Danio rerio: one gene and its partners. The protein of the gene in region 1 interacts with the protein of each later gene in a biochemical or structural test. Links are inferred from orthologs where the notes say so. Each region holds a gene or a part of one and is shown in the gene's direction. Other genes may lie near its edges.

Region 1 (3,372 bases):
TGATGTTCCTGAGGTGGTTCCTTTCCGGCTCACCCAGAACATGGTTCATGCAATGGGGCCCATGGGTACAGAGGGCCTGTTCAGACAGGCGTGTGAGGTCATACTAAGACTCATGAGAGACCAGCGGGAGCCGCTCATGAGGTAAATACTGTTAAACTTTTAAATTTAACATATCATACAATAACTTTTAAATTACAATAGTTTGATGACTGCAGTGTTTCCCCTGGGTTAACAGTTTTTTGGGGGGTGGGGACATTCAAATTTTTGCTGGTCTCTAACTAATGACAGCAGATCACTCAGAGATAGAGGGATTTGCACTCGCGATATCTTTACTGCTCTATTTATATGACAGAAAAAATTAGGGGTTTGAACCTACACTGGTCTCGTGGTTTGGTTACAATTATCACGCCATTGATTCGGTTTAATTCGATATTTCGGTGCATCACGGTGCATTGATGATGCTTTCCATAATTAATTAGATTTTTTTTTCCACAACACAACTTTTTTAAAAAAATTAAAATCCATAAATGCATTAATATTTATATATTATTTGTGTAATTTTTTTTTCCTTTAATCCAGCAGTAAGATAGGCCTATATGTACTGCACTTTTAATTTGACCTGTTAAAAGAAAACACTCTTTTAGAATGTATCAAACAAAACACCAACACATGCACAGAAGACAACACGAGCATTTATAGCAAATAAACTAATGTCAATATTATCCCGCTTCCATTTTGAGCTTTCTTACACCTTTATGGTCATTGTCTTCACCTGCTTAACATAAAGGGCTGTGCTTGGCTCTATAAATGAAAGCGCTGTTCATTAAGGAGTCACGTGGGAAGAACAGTCGCGGTTACAGTCTATATCTGCATAATACGTGGTTATAATGGGTAATACGTAATAGACACAGTGGAGAAAACTCGCACCTCGGGCACACTCGTTTCTGGATCTACAAGTATCGCTTTAACAGCCAAGTGAAGTGGAAAGCTTATCTCACAAACAGCAGCGGGTCAAATGTCCAAAGTTTGTGTGAGAGAGAGAGACAGGGATGCATTTCTTCCTAGTAGTGAAATAGCGGCAAAATTATGTGCATATATATATATCTCCCTTTTAAGTAGTTGGAGCGTTTTATTTAGTCGTCCTCGCCTCCTTTGCCATAGTATTCTACTGCGACATCGCGCATATGAGATAAATGACGTCAGTACGTAATAACCGGTTATGATCTATTACTGAACCCATATCGAATTGTCCCCATCTGCATCGCAGTGCCCCGAAGAAACAATTAATTTTAACACCCCTAGAAGAAATGTAATGCTTAGAACATAACTGTGCCTCTCGCAATCTGTTGTCTCTCATTCATTCTAGTCGCCATGATTTTCAGAGTATTTTAACTCATTTTAGGGGGTCACGGGGCCGGTTTAAATTTGCGGGAGAGGTCAGGTTGGATGAGACGCTAGATCGGGAGAACGCGTCACAGCAGCTCAAAGCACTGGAGATACAATGGCTGCACTTACAACAAAGAATGCATCACTCGCGCGGGTCACGCCAAATAACTAAACAGAGGTCCCATCGCATCTGTATATATTTTAGCTGCTGCGACTGAGCGCATTGTGCTCCCACTCATGAATGAAGTTTGGCTGCTGTAGGCTATGCATAATGTATGGAAGTGGATGTGCGTTTTCAGTCCTGTCAGGTGTGGCACGCAGTCTCATTCCCATACAGCAGAGAGTGACTGTGTAGAACTCCACTGTGCGCGATTCAGAGAGCAGAAATTTGTAATCGCACGACCATGTAGAGACTGAAATCACATGTCCTTGCATAAATAAGATATAACATATGGCTATTTATCTTGTTTATTTGAAGAAGTTGTGATTTGGTGCTTTTCTCACGCTTATTAAGATATATATTCTTAATATAATAGGAAATAATATTAGTTACATTTTAAATGAACCTTTTCTGTTTTGTTAATCACTCACGTTTACAAAAAGGTATCATTAGTTAATATATTTAATGCACCAATAATAGAAACTAATAGAGAACAATACTTGTATAGAATTTATTTAAAGTTCAACATTTAATAAAACATTAGTAAGTTAAAATTCATGTTTGTCAACCTTAATAAAACAAAGCATTACTCACATATAAATGAATCTTTTATATGTGCATAAAACTATTTAATTTATTGTTTTATGATGTTAAATAAGCTCATTTGTCTGCAATTTTTGTTGTCTGTGTTTTTTTTTTGTTTGTTGATTGTGCAGTGGTGTAATGGCAATGTAGTATTATATTCACAAATTTTCAGCACTTTCAGTCATTAAGTGTAATTAGATATTAAAATCAATTTGTTACCATATATTATATTGCATGAACTATAAAATGTACAGTAGAAAGCTTAAAAAACATATCAGATCTTTATTCTATGTTGTGTTTTAATTTGAGTAATTTCTAACTGTATTTGTATTTTATTGTAACTGCATAATTATTTCTTTTTATTCCCAACCAGCGTTTTAAAAACATTCCTGCACGATCCTTTAGTGGAGTGGAGTAAACCTGTGAAGGGTTTCTCAAAGACTCAAGTCAATGAATCTGGAGAGATCCTCAATGAGAAGGTACTTCATCCGTTAATTGCTCAAGGCTGAGTGAGGATCCTTATGTGTAATGTAAATCATGCATGCTTTTGTGTTCAGCTATCCAAACATTGAATTCTAAACATAACATGGACATAACCATCGTTAAGTACACAAGTGCCTTTGTTTATGTGCATTTTATTCATTCATTCATTCATTCATTTTCTTGTCGGCTTAGTCCCTTTATTAATTCGGGGTCGCCACAGCGGAATGAACCGCCAACTTATCCAGCAGGTTTATACGCAGCGGATGCCTTTCCAGCCGCAACCCATCTCTGGGAATCATCCAAACACATATTCACACACACACTCATACACTACGGACAATTTAGCCTACCCAATTCACCTGTACCACAAGTCTCTGGACTGTGGGGGAAACCGTGGCACCCGGAGGAAACCCACGCGAACTCAGGGAGAACATGCAAACTCCACATAGAAACGCTGACTGAGCCTAGGTTGAACCAGCGACCTTCTTGCTGTGAGGCGACAGCACTACCTACTGCGCCACTGCCTCGCCTATGTGCATTTTAAATTAATGTATTTGATGTGCAAAGGTCACAGGGTATTTTTTAGTGTCCTAATATTAAAAGATTTAAAGGTATTCCTGTCAACCCTTCCTTTTTGACCAGGATTCTTTTGTATTTTACCATTCTATCATGCTATCATCCTTTTAAAATATTTACCCGTTTTTTTGTTTTTTACAGTATTTTTTTCTTTTTATGAACAGACGAAGTAATATATACAC
Region 2 (4,173 bases), on another chromosome or scaffold:
GTGTGCGTGTGCGTGTGTGTGTGTGTGTGTGTGTGTGTGTGTGTGTGTGTGTGTGTGTGTGTGTGTGTGTGTGTGTGTGTGTGTGTGTGTGTTGATCATTCTCTCAACCTGAAGAGTGCTGGAGAAACACACATTGACTTTCATCGTCTTTATTCCTGCTATTGAAGGCAGCGGCAGCATTCTTCAGAGTATCTTATTTTGTATTCGACAGAAGAAACCCATAGGTGTTTAGAAGCAGAGCAAATGAGGATTAGGGTGGAACGGTGGCTCAGTGGTGTCGCACTGTGTGCTCACAGCAAGAAGGTCTCTGGTTTGAGTCTCGGCTGGGTCAGTTGGTGTTTCTGTGTGGAGTTTGCATGTTCTCCCCGTGTTGGTGAGGGTTTCCTCCGGGTGCTCCGGTTTCCCCCACAGTCCAAACACATGCGCTATAGGGGAACTGATCAACTACACTGGCTGTAGTGTATGAGTGTGTGTGTGTGAATGAGTGTGTATGGGTGTTTCCCAGCCCTGGGTTGCAACTGAAAGGGCATCCGCTGTGTAAAACACATGCTGGAATAGTTGGTGATTCATTTCACTATGGCGACCTCTGATATATAAGGGACTAAGATGAATTAAAATGAAAGTAGATCTCTATTTCTGTGTGAACTGACCCCTTAAGTGTGTTTCTGACGCTGCTCTGTGTGTTTATTCCACCAGGGGGCTTCAGTGATCACACAACTACAACTATAGAGCAACGCTTCTGCAACCTTCAGCAGTAATGCACTTATTATAAAGAGCAGATTTATTTAATTGCTGTAAATTATAACCGTATAATTATGTATTTATGTGCTGACATTATGATGTGCTTTAATCAATGATGGTTGTTTTTAAATGTGCTATGTAAATACAATCGAATTTAATATAGTTGTATAATAATATATACTAATAGAATAAATATTATTGATATTTAAGACAGTAAAACTCAACGCTGTTGCATCAAATTAAAGCTATTTTGGAGTTTGTTGAAGTATTTTTGTATTAATAGATTATTGAAATAAATATCAATCAGGTATAATTTAGTATGATTCAGAATGATGTTATATTAATATATAATATTATTTAATAATATTGTTGAATTAGAGAATCATAAGTCATATACACTTTAAGTTTGAAGTCTTTAATTAGGAATGTTAAAGAGAGCATTAATCTTACAGTTTTGTATAATATATGTTTTCTGCGTACAGGAACCGCAGCGTTTTTATTTTTAACTGTTTATTATTATTTATTCATATTAGAGACAACAACAATAGGTAAACACTTCTTACAAGGCGTTCACATCAAAACAAAATACAAGTTTTCGCTTGTTGGCGGAAGAGCGCGGCGCGTGACGTCACGGGCGCAGCTCGCGTGCGCGAACATGGCGGTTCCTGCGACGACGAACGACGCGAAGAAAAGTGCTGGAAGTTATGAAATATTACTAAAACATGACGAGAACCAGCATTAAAACACTGCGGGGGAACCGAGCGGGTGTCCGGTGAGCAGAAGAGCCCGACAGCGGAGACACGCGGCGGGTAGAGGAGCGTTTAAATCCGCCTCAGAGAGAGAGAAGTGCACGCGGAAGTGACGAGACTTTACCAACTAACCAGAACTCAACACCACAGCCAAAGGCAAGAGTTAAATCTGCACAGAAGAGCCTGGAGGGCTTCAGTGAGATCCACACACTTTATTCATGACTTTAATGAGCATCAGGAGATACAAACACGGTCTCATCTGCTTACTGAATGACACCACGATCACACCAAACGCGTTTACTGCACTCCCAGACTCTTCCAGTGGCTAATAATTATCATAATAACTCTAATAATGATGATCATTGAGAGTTTCACGCACACCAGAGCGTCTGAGTTCATCACTGACCCCTCTGATGTGCTGATATCTTCTCCTTTGAGAGTTTGATGTTGACGTGACGTCAGAATGATTGACAGCTCGTCAGCAGTGATGTTCATGCATTAATGCTGACTCTGTGAATGAGGATGACTCCTTCATACATCCCACAGTGCCTTAGAAACACTTCTAACCTCTAGAAGGCGGGGATCTGATCTGCGGTCAGGCTGGCACATGCATGACTGGCACAGGGGAGTGTGTGTTTTCAGGCTCCTCCAGCTGATCTCCTGCGCTGTGTGTTCTTATGGGGCAGCAGCCAGGAAAGTTAGTGGGTGAGCAGAGGAGACCGAGCCTGCCGGCACTGCCCTTCATCAAGGCCGCGGGGAGGAGAGAGACGCCCCGGCACGGAGCACCGCACTGCAATGTGTTCACGGTCCACGGTCAGTGCCAGATCCAGCACACCACATTCACTCATCACTCAAGGGGGCAGTTCACTCACGAATGATCAGTAGGGAACATTTAGGATCAGGGGGAGGCCAAGCCAGCCTGAGATCCCCGAGGCTCTGCAGTGGTTGTGGAAATTATAAATTGAACCAAAGCAATTATAATTGGGTTAAGATTGGCTATGACAATTCTGGAAAACCAGCAGAGCCTTGGAATTAATAATACAATTAATAACATTGAGGCCTTGATCACACTGAATGCACTTTTAATGGTGCGAGGTGCCTTTTTTGAATGGTTATAAATTGGTTGTGAGTGTTTGTGCACTGCTTAGGGGCCGTTCACACAGAATGCATTTTCTTTCTGTATAGTGCACTACTATACTATTGTTTTTCAATGTAAACACACGCTTGACGTACGTGTCTGACTGCTACGTTGCATCTTTTGAAGCATCTCGTTTTTTTAAACGCCATGTCTGGTTGAGAGGTCTTCGACTTTCACACACAGCACAGTCAGTTCCACAGCAGTGGACCAATCAGAAGAGTGCTTGGGTGTTGCAAGCTTCAGTTTATAGTAGAAAGTTGGCATGATAACTCTTATTTAGCTTTATGGCAGAGGAGGCGCTCATTCTGGCTGTGTCCAGATTAGGCATGGGACGATATCCGTGTTCAATGTGTACCGTGGTTTTGAAAAGTCAGGGTTTTAAATTCGTCAAAATTTAAAAGATAAATATTTTAAAGATTTTTTATTTACATTTTTTTTTAGGACAACAGTATCTCCAGCAGTAAAGATCTCCAAAGACACTGTTTTAAATAGTAAAGAAATCAGTGCTTTTGAAACTAATGAAGACAGCAGAAGTCAATAATTCACGTTTACTGCTCCAAAATACTTGAAATGTTTCTCAAATTGAAATAAATTGTGTACAAAGAGGAAAAAAGTTTTCTATCCCGACTTTTAAAAAGAATATATTTTAGATAGGAGTTTCAAAATTAATTGTTTCTTCAGTCCACCACGAAGCAAATGCAGACAATTCAGAACATCAGAAAGATCCAGCTAACTCTATCAAGCCTCTTCAGCTGCTCCAGAACGCAGCAGCACGAGTGGTCTTTAATGAAGCTAAAAGAGCACATGTCACTCCGCTGCTCATCCGTTTGCACTGGCTGCCAGTTGCTGCTCGCATCAAATTCAAAGCTCTGATGTTTGCTTACAAAGCGACTTCTGGCTTTGCTCCTTCTTATCTGCTCTCACTTCTGCAGATGTATGTGCCCTCCAGAAACTTGCGTTCTGTGAATGAACGTCGCCTCGTGGTTCCATCCCAAAGAGGGAAGACATCACTTTCCCGAACTCTCACGCTCAATTTGCCCAGTTGGTGGAATGAACTCCCTAACTGCATCAGAACAGCAGAGTCACTCGCTGTCTTCAAAAAACCACTAAAAACTCAACTATTTAGCCTTCACTTCCCTTCCTAATCTGCAAGTGCCTCTCTGGATATAACGCTAACTGTACTAAAAAATAAATAATAATAATAATAATAAATACTAATGCTTTCCTTCTTATACTTTACAGACCTGAAACTTGCCTACAGCACTTATTCATTGTTGCTCTTATAGTTGTGTAAATTGCTTCCTTGTCCTCATTTGTAAGTCTCTTTGAATAAAAGCGTCTGCTAAATGTAAATGTAAAATTTGGTATCGGTTGAGTAATAATCATAACCGCTTACTATATACTGATGTCATTTATCTCATTTGCACTATGTTTTGTAGCTTACTATGGCGAGGGAGGCGAGCGCGAGTATTTACTACGCTCCAACTACTTAAAAACGCAGAAACTGTGCACAAATTTGACTGCGTGTGTGTTTGCTGGACAGTT
Region 3 (4,284 bases), on another chromosome or scaffold:
ACTCCAGCACCTCGCCTCGCGTCGCCTCCTGCTTCCTTCTCCTTACAAATATGTCATCTATGTCTCTGGATAAAGGAGGTCTTGCTTTCTGAAATGTACAAATTTGGAGTGAATTCATAAAAGCTCCATTCATATAAATGTCTTTTCTATCTTTCTACCTTCTCTCTTTTACTGAAGACAAACTTATGTTAATGTCTATCTAATGTTGATAGATAGATAGATAGATAGATAGATAGATAGATAGAAAGATAGATAGATAGATAGATAGATAGATAGATAGATAGATAGATAGATAGATAGATAGATAGATAGATAGATAGATAGATAGATAGATTTCTCTTTGGGCACATAAAATTTATGTATAATGAAAATGTTTTACTATAGTTACTATAGCATAATATTATAAAATAGTAGGCCTATCATTGTATACATTAATGTATAGTATATGCCTGTCTGTTATGATATAGTAGGCCTGATTGTAAGGTTATTTATTACTATATGACTATTAGAATTATTATTGTATAATTATTATGACGTTAATATATTCAATATAAAACATGTAACGTTAATAATGGTCAACACAAATAACTCACCAATGCCACTGAATGTGCAGGTCCAGTAATTTCGCGACACCGAATCCTGCTTCTTTGGGCTGTCAACATTGTTAATTTTTTTCTTACCTTATTTATTTAGGTTTACCCTTTAAATGGTTTACTAATTTCTGACACTCAAGACAGCTTTAGAAACGACCGTCTAACACTCAATAAATGAAGTTGTGTTTACGGAACTGAAGTGATGTTGCCATAACAACGAAAAAGGACCACTTCGATACATCAGCCAAAGAGCTTAGAATCACTCTATGCTCTTTGCATCAGCCTATCTGCGCCTCCCATGTGCGCCTATAGTTATGTGATGATGATGATAATTATGTTAGCTTATAATTGTAAAATATTATTTTAAATATATCGAAATGCTAGAAATAAACTACTGCCGTGAACTTTTGCCCACTTATTGACGGGCTTTTATGTTAGAAAATAAAATAAAAGCCCCTACATAAACGGTTTATTTCATGATTATTTCTTGTGTTCTTCTTATTTATAAATAATAACATGAAAACGTAAAACGCATAAAATACTTATCATATTCATCTTTTGCTTATATAGCTAATGTTAAATACTGCTGTTGTATACATTAATATGACAGTTATAAAAAACTAAATCAAAAAATATTTTTACAGTACAATTCAAATGAAAGAAACACAACAGGGATATAAAAATCTTCTTCTTCTTTTTTTTTTATATTTCGCATGTTGTGGTTGTTCTTAATAATTCTATATAACATAATGCTAAAAAGTTTCCCAGTGATGGGTTTCAGCTGGAAGGGCATCCGCTACGTAAAACATGTGCTATATAAGTTGGCGGTTCGTTCCGCTGTGGCGACCCAAGATTGACTATGCCGAAAAGAAAATAATTGAATGAATGAATAACGCAAAAAGTTGTCCCTCATGTTAGCGGTTTAAGCTTTTATTTTGAAAATTCTTTCCTCTTAGCATTTCCGATGATGTCACGTCTCTAGAAGGCGCCAAAGTTTGGACAGACGCTCTTGTATTATTATGTCTGCATAGACACTTATCAAGGGGGTGTGTGATTATAACAACAAATTACATTAACAAACCGCTTCACATGGGACAACGTTACCTCTGATATACGCGAAGGTATGTTTGTTTTAGCTAAATTAAAACTAATATCCGACAGCCCAAAGCTATCAGATTTGACGTTTCACTGTTTACAATTGCCTGCCCCGTAACATTTATCATGTTTACTGTTATATTTATTTACTAAAAACTAACATATGTCCTGTAAGTGTTATAGTCTATTAGCTTGTTATGCTGATTTGCTTTTACAAGGTTGTTCTGACTGACTTATGCCCACAGATTGCATAATGGCTGTGCCTTTTGTTAAAGACTGGGATGTGGTACAAACTCTTGGAGAGGGAGCATATGGAGAGTAAGTGACCAATGCACTTCATATTCGTTCCATCTTGATCAGTTGCAGTCTTAAAATTGTATTAATCTGCTTCAAATCATTGTAGGGTGCGACTGCTGGTCAACAAGAAGACAGAAGAGGCTGTGGCGGTGAAAGTTGTGGACATGGCAAAAGCCAAGGATTGCATCGAGAATGTGAAGAAGGAGGTCTGCATATGCAAGATGCTTTCACACCCCAACATTGTACGTTTCTTTGGGCACAGGAGTGAGGGGACGACACAGTACATCTTTCTGGAGTACTGTAGCGGAGGAGAGCTCTTTGACCGAATAGGTAATTGAACATTTTGGGTTCATTCAATAATTGTTGCATCCTTTTTGTTTTTGAGTCGTGTAGATGAGTCAGGGTTCAACGCTGGGGAGTTTTTCTACTGGTCTGATCGGGCCAATGATTCATATTTTTACTTGCCCTGACAAAAATTTTTACAGGCCCAAAAACAAAAAAGAGAAGTTAATAGCTTTTTTTTAGCCACATATTTTAAATAATGTGACATAAATAATGTCTGTGAATCTAGAAAATAAATATTTATAATGAGCAAAATTCTCAGTGTTGTGCAAACAAAAAGAGCAGTACGGAAAATGTGCAGGTTTTTTATTGCAGTTTGAAATTATATAAAAAATGGTGGCCGACTTGTAATACTGACGGCAAATTGTGCAAAACATTACTTCATTTTTCTCATGTTGTACCCATGTAAATGTCTGCTTCTAAGATGTTAAACACAGACATTTTCTTTTATCCTTATATTTTGATGTTGCTGTCACTTCACCACTGGTTGTTACCAGGTTATGGGGAAAAATATAGCATGCTCAATACACAAAATCAGATAAGAGCAACCAAAAAACAATATGGTGTTTACGACATCACAGAAAAGGTAGCATTTAAAGACTTAAAAACACAAACTTAAAATGCTTGCATTTGACCAATAATCGCAGGTCAATTAAGCTTTAGTGACAAGGCAGCACTTTCCCAATCGTAATGATCCTGTCTACTATCCCAAGTGTCTCTCACGCTGGCCCCGGGCCATCAGGCAGTCCTTGTTGTTGAGCCCTGTGAGTAAATCAACTGTAAAAAAAACAAATGTTCCCATCCTTTGCTTTCTTGTCAGAATTGATTTATTAAAATAAAGGCATTAAAATACCTAAAATTTATCTAAAGTATATTTTGTCAATCTTTCTGACAGAACCGGATGTTGGGATGCCAGAAAAGGAGGCGCACAGGTTTTTTCAGCAGCTGATAGCTGGTGTGGTAAGATTTGTGATCTTTTTTTTTTTTTTTTTTTTTTTTTTTATGGTGTATTTTGAGAACCATTTACTCTTCAAAGTTGACTTTGTTGTGAAACTTGCTCCATCTCACTTACAGGAATATCTTCACAGTGTTGGGATTACACATCGTGACATAAAGCCTGAGAATATTCTTCTTGATGATAAAGGTACGTCTGAATGGTATTTTTATACAGGATAAAATGCAATGTTCCACATGGTGTTCGCGGGGTCTTAAAGTCCTAAAATGTTTTAAATTTCCAAAGCTAAATGTTAGGCCATAAAGTCTTTAATCTATTAAAATATTGTGTTGTAGGTCTTAAATCTTTTTAAACAGGTCTTAATTTTCAGTTGTTTATAAATAGTTACCCAATCTGGCCATTAACATCCATATAATCACCAACAATCCATCTTTTATTTACAAATGTCCTGTTTAACTCCATTTACCATAATTGTTTAATTATTTTCCTAATAATAATAATTATTATTATTTAAAAGTTCCACTTGTATTTACTGCTTAGGACACTAACCTGGATGGACTGTTTTGCATACATTTAGTTTATTATAATAACTTTTAAAACATTTGTCCATTTTTCAGAAAGTCTATGTTGAAAAAAAGAGTGTTTGCAGCTAGAACTTGCTTGTTTTGACACAATATTTTGCTAATAGATATTTAAATTTGTTATTCAATTATCATAGTATTATTAAATTATATAATTTTTTATAGTGCAAAAATAAATATTTTTTTTTATCTGGGCCATTTAAAAAATTCTTTAGGGTTTAGCCCTGTATGAGTCTAAAATTTGTACATAATGGTCAAAATGTCTTAAAAAGTCTTAAATTTAACTTGGTGAAACCTGCAGAAGTTCCAGCTTCACAGATAAATTCAGCAGCAATATCCATGACACAAACACACACAGAAAAGCATTTTATTATCGATGTGCTGATATGAAATTGCAATATAGTCTGCTTTGGAGAGCTGG
Region 4 (3,937 bases), on another chromosome or scaffold:
ATGTTTTCATAGATACATTAGCAAAGATGCTAAATATCTGTAGACACACTACTGAACAAAGCTGCAGATAGTATTGTTTACCTTAGCACACTGTAGCCTATAAATATTTTTTATGTCTATATAAATTAAGGTAAGGCAGCTATATTTAGCACACTTATTACAGTTTGTAACATGCTAACTTAGCTCATATTTGTTAACTGCAAAGGTTTTGTCGTATAAAAAAGATCTGCTTGTTGTGATCACATAAAAATGTACACAATCATTTGTTCTCGTCAATAAATCGTAATAGTTGAAATAATAATAGTTCCAACTTAAAACAGCAGCAACAAAAACACTCCGTAGTTACATGCACACATTGTGTGAGATAAAAAAGTATGTTGTTCATAGCGAAGATGCTAAATCTGACACAATAGCTGTAGACAAATCTTTAAAGCAGCAAACAGATTTCACCTTTTATTAGTTTATTTCTGTAGCCTAACAATGTTATGAAGTCTAACTATATCATTTTTACATCTTTTGTTAAAAATAAAGCCTTTCGCAGCTATTTAGCGCAATTATTACAATTGGTTATAACCTGCATGCTAACTTAGCTCATAATAACTGCAAAAGTTTTGTCGTATATGGTGTAATCACATAAAAATGTACCTGCTGATTTTTAGTGATGATTTTGCTTAAAATGTATCAAAAATATCACTAAACACTATTTATTTTGTGTGTGCACCTTGTAAATATATTTTTAATCTTACTCATACTACTCTGCGTCAGTGTTTTGTTGTGAACTCATATTTTTCCATTTAAACTAAAATAATACAATCTTGAAGCCTTGCGATATGTTTACTACAGGTACGAGTATGTATAAGCTAAATGGTGAAGAAAACGTTTAACAAGCCCAAACTTTTATAAACACATCTTGTTGAACATGTTTAGACAACTTCCAAATCACGGCTTTGTGCAAGTTTTCTGAATCAAAATGAATGGTTCAAAACGCATTTTGTCGCAAGAGTGTCTCCGTAATACGTGCGCTACTCCTTTGACGAATCAGAGCTCACCGCTACACACTATGGCAGTGGTTTAGCCAATCAGGTGATGTTTTACTACCGCGTACGCTTTCGTCTGGCCGCATGGACACTCCTCCTCGCTTGAATGAATACCGAACCTTCAGAAATGCCTCCAACTTTTCCTCTTTTCGGTTATTTGTTTGTTTGGTCAACTACTTTTATGTAAACATTTCAGAATTGCACTTTATCTGGAGTGTTTACTTTTGGTTTGTCATGTCGGTGATTTGACGGGCAGTTGCAGGTTATGCAGGAATCTGAGGAGCGTAAATCAAGCAGGTGACTGATAAACTTGAGCACTTTACTACACCTTTACCATGTTAAAATTGGAGTCTGGAAGAGCATTGTGTGTTAGTTTGTTAGTCCGGTAGTAATGTACACTTTATAGGCTGAAAAATAACTGGATTTTTGACCAGTAAGTGAGTGTTATCGTATTAAAATTGTCACATGCTAACTGCTTGATATTAATGAACTGGCACGAACCGTACTGTATGTCAGGGTTTTGCAGTCTTTTATATGTCACGGACATCCAAACCCAAAATGTAAACTACATATTTGTAGTTGCAAAATACATTTATACTGCGAAAACTAGTGTTAGATAATGTGTCTAATGTTTTTTTCTAAATTATTTATTTTCTGCTATAATTTTTTGCAGATTATTAATGAATTCGTTGTCCTGGAACTGTTTTAATTGTTACATTTACAGTTTAAATCAAAAAGCTTGTCTATTTAATTGAAATAATTAGATGGATAGGTTTTTAATAAATATAGAAATGTGTGTTTAAACATTTATTTATATTGTAATACATATAGACATGTTACCCTGGATGTTATGAGGCTAGAATAAAAGCAGTTTTTAATTTTTTAAAAACATTTAAGATCAAAATTATTAGCCCCCTTAAGGTATATATTTTTTCGATAGTTTACAGAACAAACCATCATTATACAATAACTTGCCTAATTACCCTAACCTGCCTGATTAACCTAGTTAAGCCTTTAAATGTCACTTTAAGCTGTATAGAAGTGTCTTGAAAAATATCTAGTAAAATATTATGTGCTGTCATCATGGCAAAGATAAAATGAATCAGCTGTTAGAAATCAGTTATTAAAACTATTATGTTAAGAAATGTGTTAAAGAAAAATCTTCCATTAAACAAAAATAAACAGAGGGGCTAATAATTCAGGGGGTTTAATAATTCTGACTTCAACTGTACATTTATAGTGGTGGTCATGTATAAACAAACATTGTACAGCTTATGCAGTACTATTTATTATAAAACAGGTGAATTTACTAAAGTTTTAATCACTTTAAGACATATTTATCCAAATTTTTCCAAATTTAATGACATTCCATTAGTGACGATCTGTCCCTCATTTGCAAAGACAGTCCTGAGTCATAAGCAGTCACCTGCCAATAGATGTAATATAGACGTGGTGTTTTAGGATGCACAAATGAAAACCGTAGATGACCATAGGCATTTGCAGCTCTGCCCACAATTGAAAAGAAGGCTATCTCACTTGAATTTAAAGCAACAGTCAACAAAATATCACAATTTGGATCGAAGTCTAAAAAGGGCAGTTTAAAAGAATTATTAGTGGGGTATTTTGAGCTGAAATTTAACACGCTCTAGGTCAGGGGTGCCCAAACCCGGTCCTGGAGGGCCGGTGACCTGCATAGTTTAGCTCACACTTCCTTCAACACACCTGCTTGGAAGTTTCCAGTATACGTATAAAGAGCTTGATTAGCTGGTTTAAGTGTGTCTAATTGGGGATAGAACTAAACTCTGCAGGACACTGGACCAGAGTTTAGGCATTCCTGCTCTAGGGGTGTCAGAGACCTATCATCTTGTGAAAAGGGGCATAAACATTTTCTTTACTACACTAATTATTTGCTGAACATTAACAAGGTTTTATTGATTTCCCAGCAGGAGCTCGTTGACATGGACTTTCCCCCGAGCAAGAGACTGAAGGGCCCTCAGGTGAAGACTGGACCCGACCCGTTTGACGATGACATTGATTTCACCCAGGATGATCTGGAGCAGATTGATATTATTGCGTCTCAGGCCATCAGCGCAGACGTCCAGAACAGCGGCTCTAAGAGATCTTTCGACGCTGTGCTCGCTTGCGCTGATGAACCGAGCAAAGCTCCAGTGAGGTCCGGGCGGAAAACATTCGCCCTTGGAGATGCCTGCAGCAGCAGCACTTACAACAACACACACGCTCAAAGGAAAGAGCCTTCTGGTCAGTACTGGATGTTTCTGTTGCACTGTACACAAGTTTTTATATGTCCCATTGGGTTTTTGCAGTTGTTGTTGTTAATTTAAAAAACAAAATTAGAGACAGTTTAAAGAAGCAATTTAACATATTTGTTTGTTGTTTTGTGTCTTGTTAGTGGGCTATTATATATATATATATATATATATATATATATATATATATATATATATATATATATATATATATATATATATATATATATATATATACACACACAGAATTTACATTTCAGCCAGCCAGCCAGCCTCAGCACTTCCAGTGAATTGTCTTTCCGTTATAAAATTGCCATGTTTAAGGTCTGGGTCAGACTGGACAAGAAGCTCAGCATTAAATTACATTTCCTCTCGCCATGTCTTTAAAATATAACAGTTTATTCAACCCCAGAAGTTTCAATGGAGTTTCTGCACTCACCTGCTGACCCTGACAGCGCTAGAGGTTACACAGTCTTTCATCTTGTTTTACACTTAAACAACTCATGCCGAGTTCAGACTGCAAGATTTTAGCCTCGATTTTGACTCGCTGGCAGGTTTTGAGAAATCGCAGACAAATGCCTGAAATCACAGGCAAATCGATGTTCGTTCACGTGAGTAACAATCACAGTGTGA

The links. The genes of interacting proteins can lie anywhere in the genome.
Region 2: of the proteins of atr (region 1) and abl1, one has a biochemical effect on the other in vitro, tested with the Homo sapiens proteins (2 studies listed by BioGRID, with this or other methods). The link is inferred for Danio rerio from reciprocal best matches to the Homo sapiens genes ATR and ABL1.
Region 3: of the proteins of atr (region 1) and chek1, one has a biochemical effect on the other in vitro, tested with the Homo sapiens proteins (7 studies listed by BioGRID, with this or other methods). The link is inferred for Danio rerio from reciprocal best matches to the Homo sapiens genes ATR and CHEK1.
Region 4: the proteins of atr (region 1) and atrip form a complex in vitro, tested with the Homo sapiens proteins (4 studies listed by BioGRID and IntAct, with this or other methods). The link is inferred for Danio rerio from reciprocal best matches to the Homo sapiens genes ATR and ATRIP.

Annotation. Positions count from the first base shown.
Region 1 is NC_133177.1:18,755,501-18,758,872, reverse strand, and holds part of atr (serine/threonine-protein kinase ATR), read left to right. Parts: coding exon 1-141; intron 142-2,504; coding exon 2,505-2,610; intron 2,611-3,372. UniProt on the Homo sapiens protein: Serine/threonine protein kinase which activates checkpoint signaling upon genotoxic stresses such as ionizing radiation (IR), ultraviolet light (UV), or DNA replication stalling, thereby acting as a DNA damage sensor.
Region 2 is NC_133180.1:78,512,065-78,516,237, forward strand, and holds the start of abl1 (tyrosine-protein kinase ABL1), read left to right. Parts: upstream 1-1,373; 5' UTR 1,374-2,167; coding exon 2,168-2,303; intron 2,304-4,173. UniProt on the Homo sapiens protein: Non-receptor tyrosine-protein kinase that plays a role in many key processes linked to cell growth and survival such as cytoskeleton remodeling in response to extracellular stimuli, cell motility and adhesion, receptor endocytosis, autophagy, DNA damage response and apoptosis.
Region 3 is NC_133196.1:24,017,262-24,021,545, forward strand, and holds the start of chek1 (serine/threonine-protein kinase Chk1), read left to right. Parts: upstream 1-1,484; 5' UTR 1,485-1,714; intron 1,715-1,933; 5' UTR 1,934-1,941; coding exon 1,942-2,006; intron 2,007-2,091; coding exon 2,092-2,247; coding exon of another isoform or gene 2,248-2,315; intron 2,316-3,222; coding exon of another isoform or gene 3,223-3,287; intron 3,288-3,401; coding exon of another isoform or gene 3,402-3,415; coding exon 3,416-3,471; intron 3,472-4,284. UniProt on the Homo sapiens protein: Serine/threonine-protein kinase which is required for checkpoint-mediated cell cycle arrest and activation of DNA repair in response to the presence of DNA damage or unreplicated DNA.
Region 4 is NC_133197.1:10,191,086-10,195,022, forward strand, and holds the start of atrip (ATR-interacting protein), read left to right. Parts: upstream 1-1,137; 5' UTR 1,138-1,334; intron 1,335-2,980; exon of another isoform or gene 2,981-2,983; 5' UTR 2,984-2,995; coding exon 2,996-3,296; intron 3,297-3,701; coding exon of another isoform or gene 3,702-3,767; intron 3,768-3,937. UniProt on the Homo sapiens protein: Required for checkpoint signaling after DNA damage. Required for ATR expression, possibly by stabilizing the protein.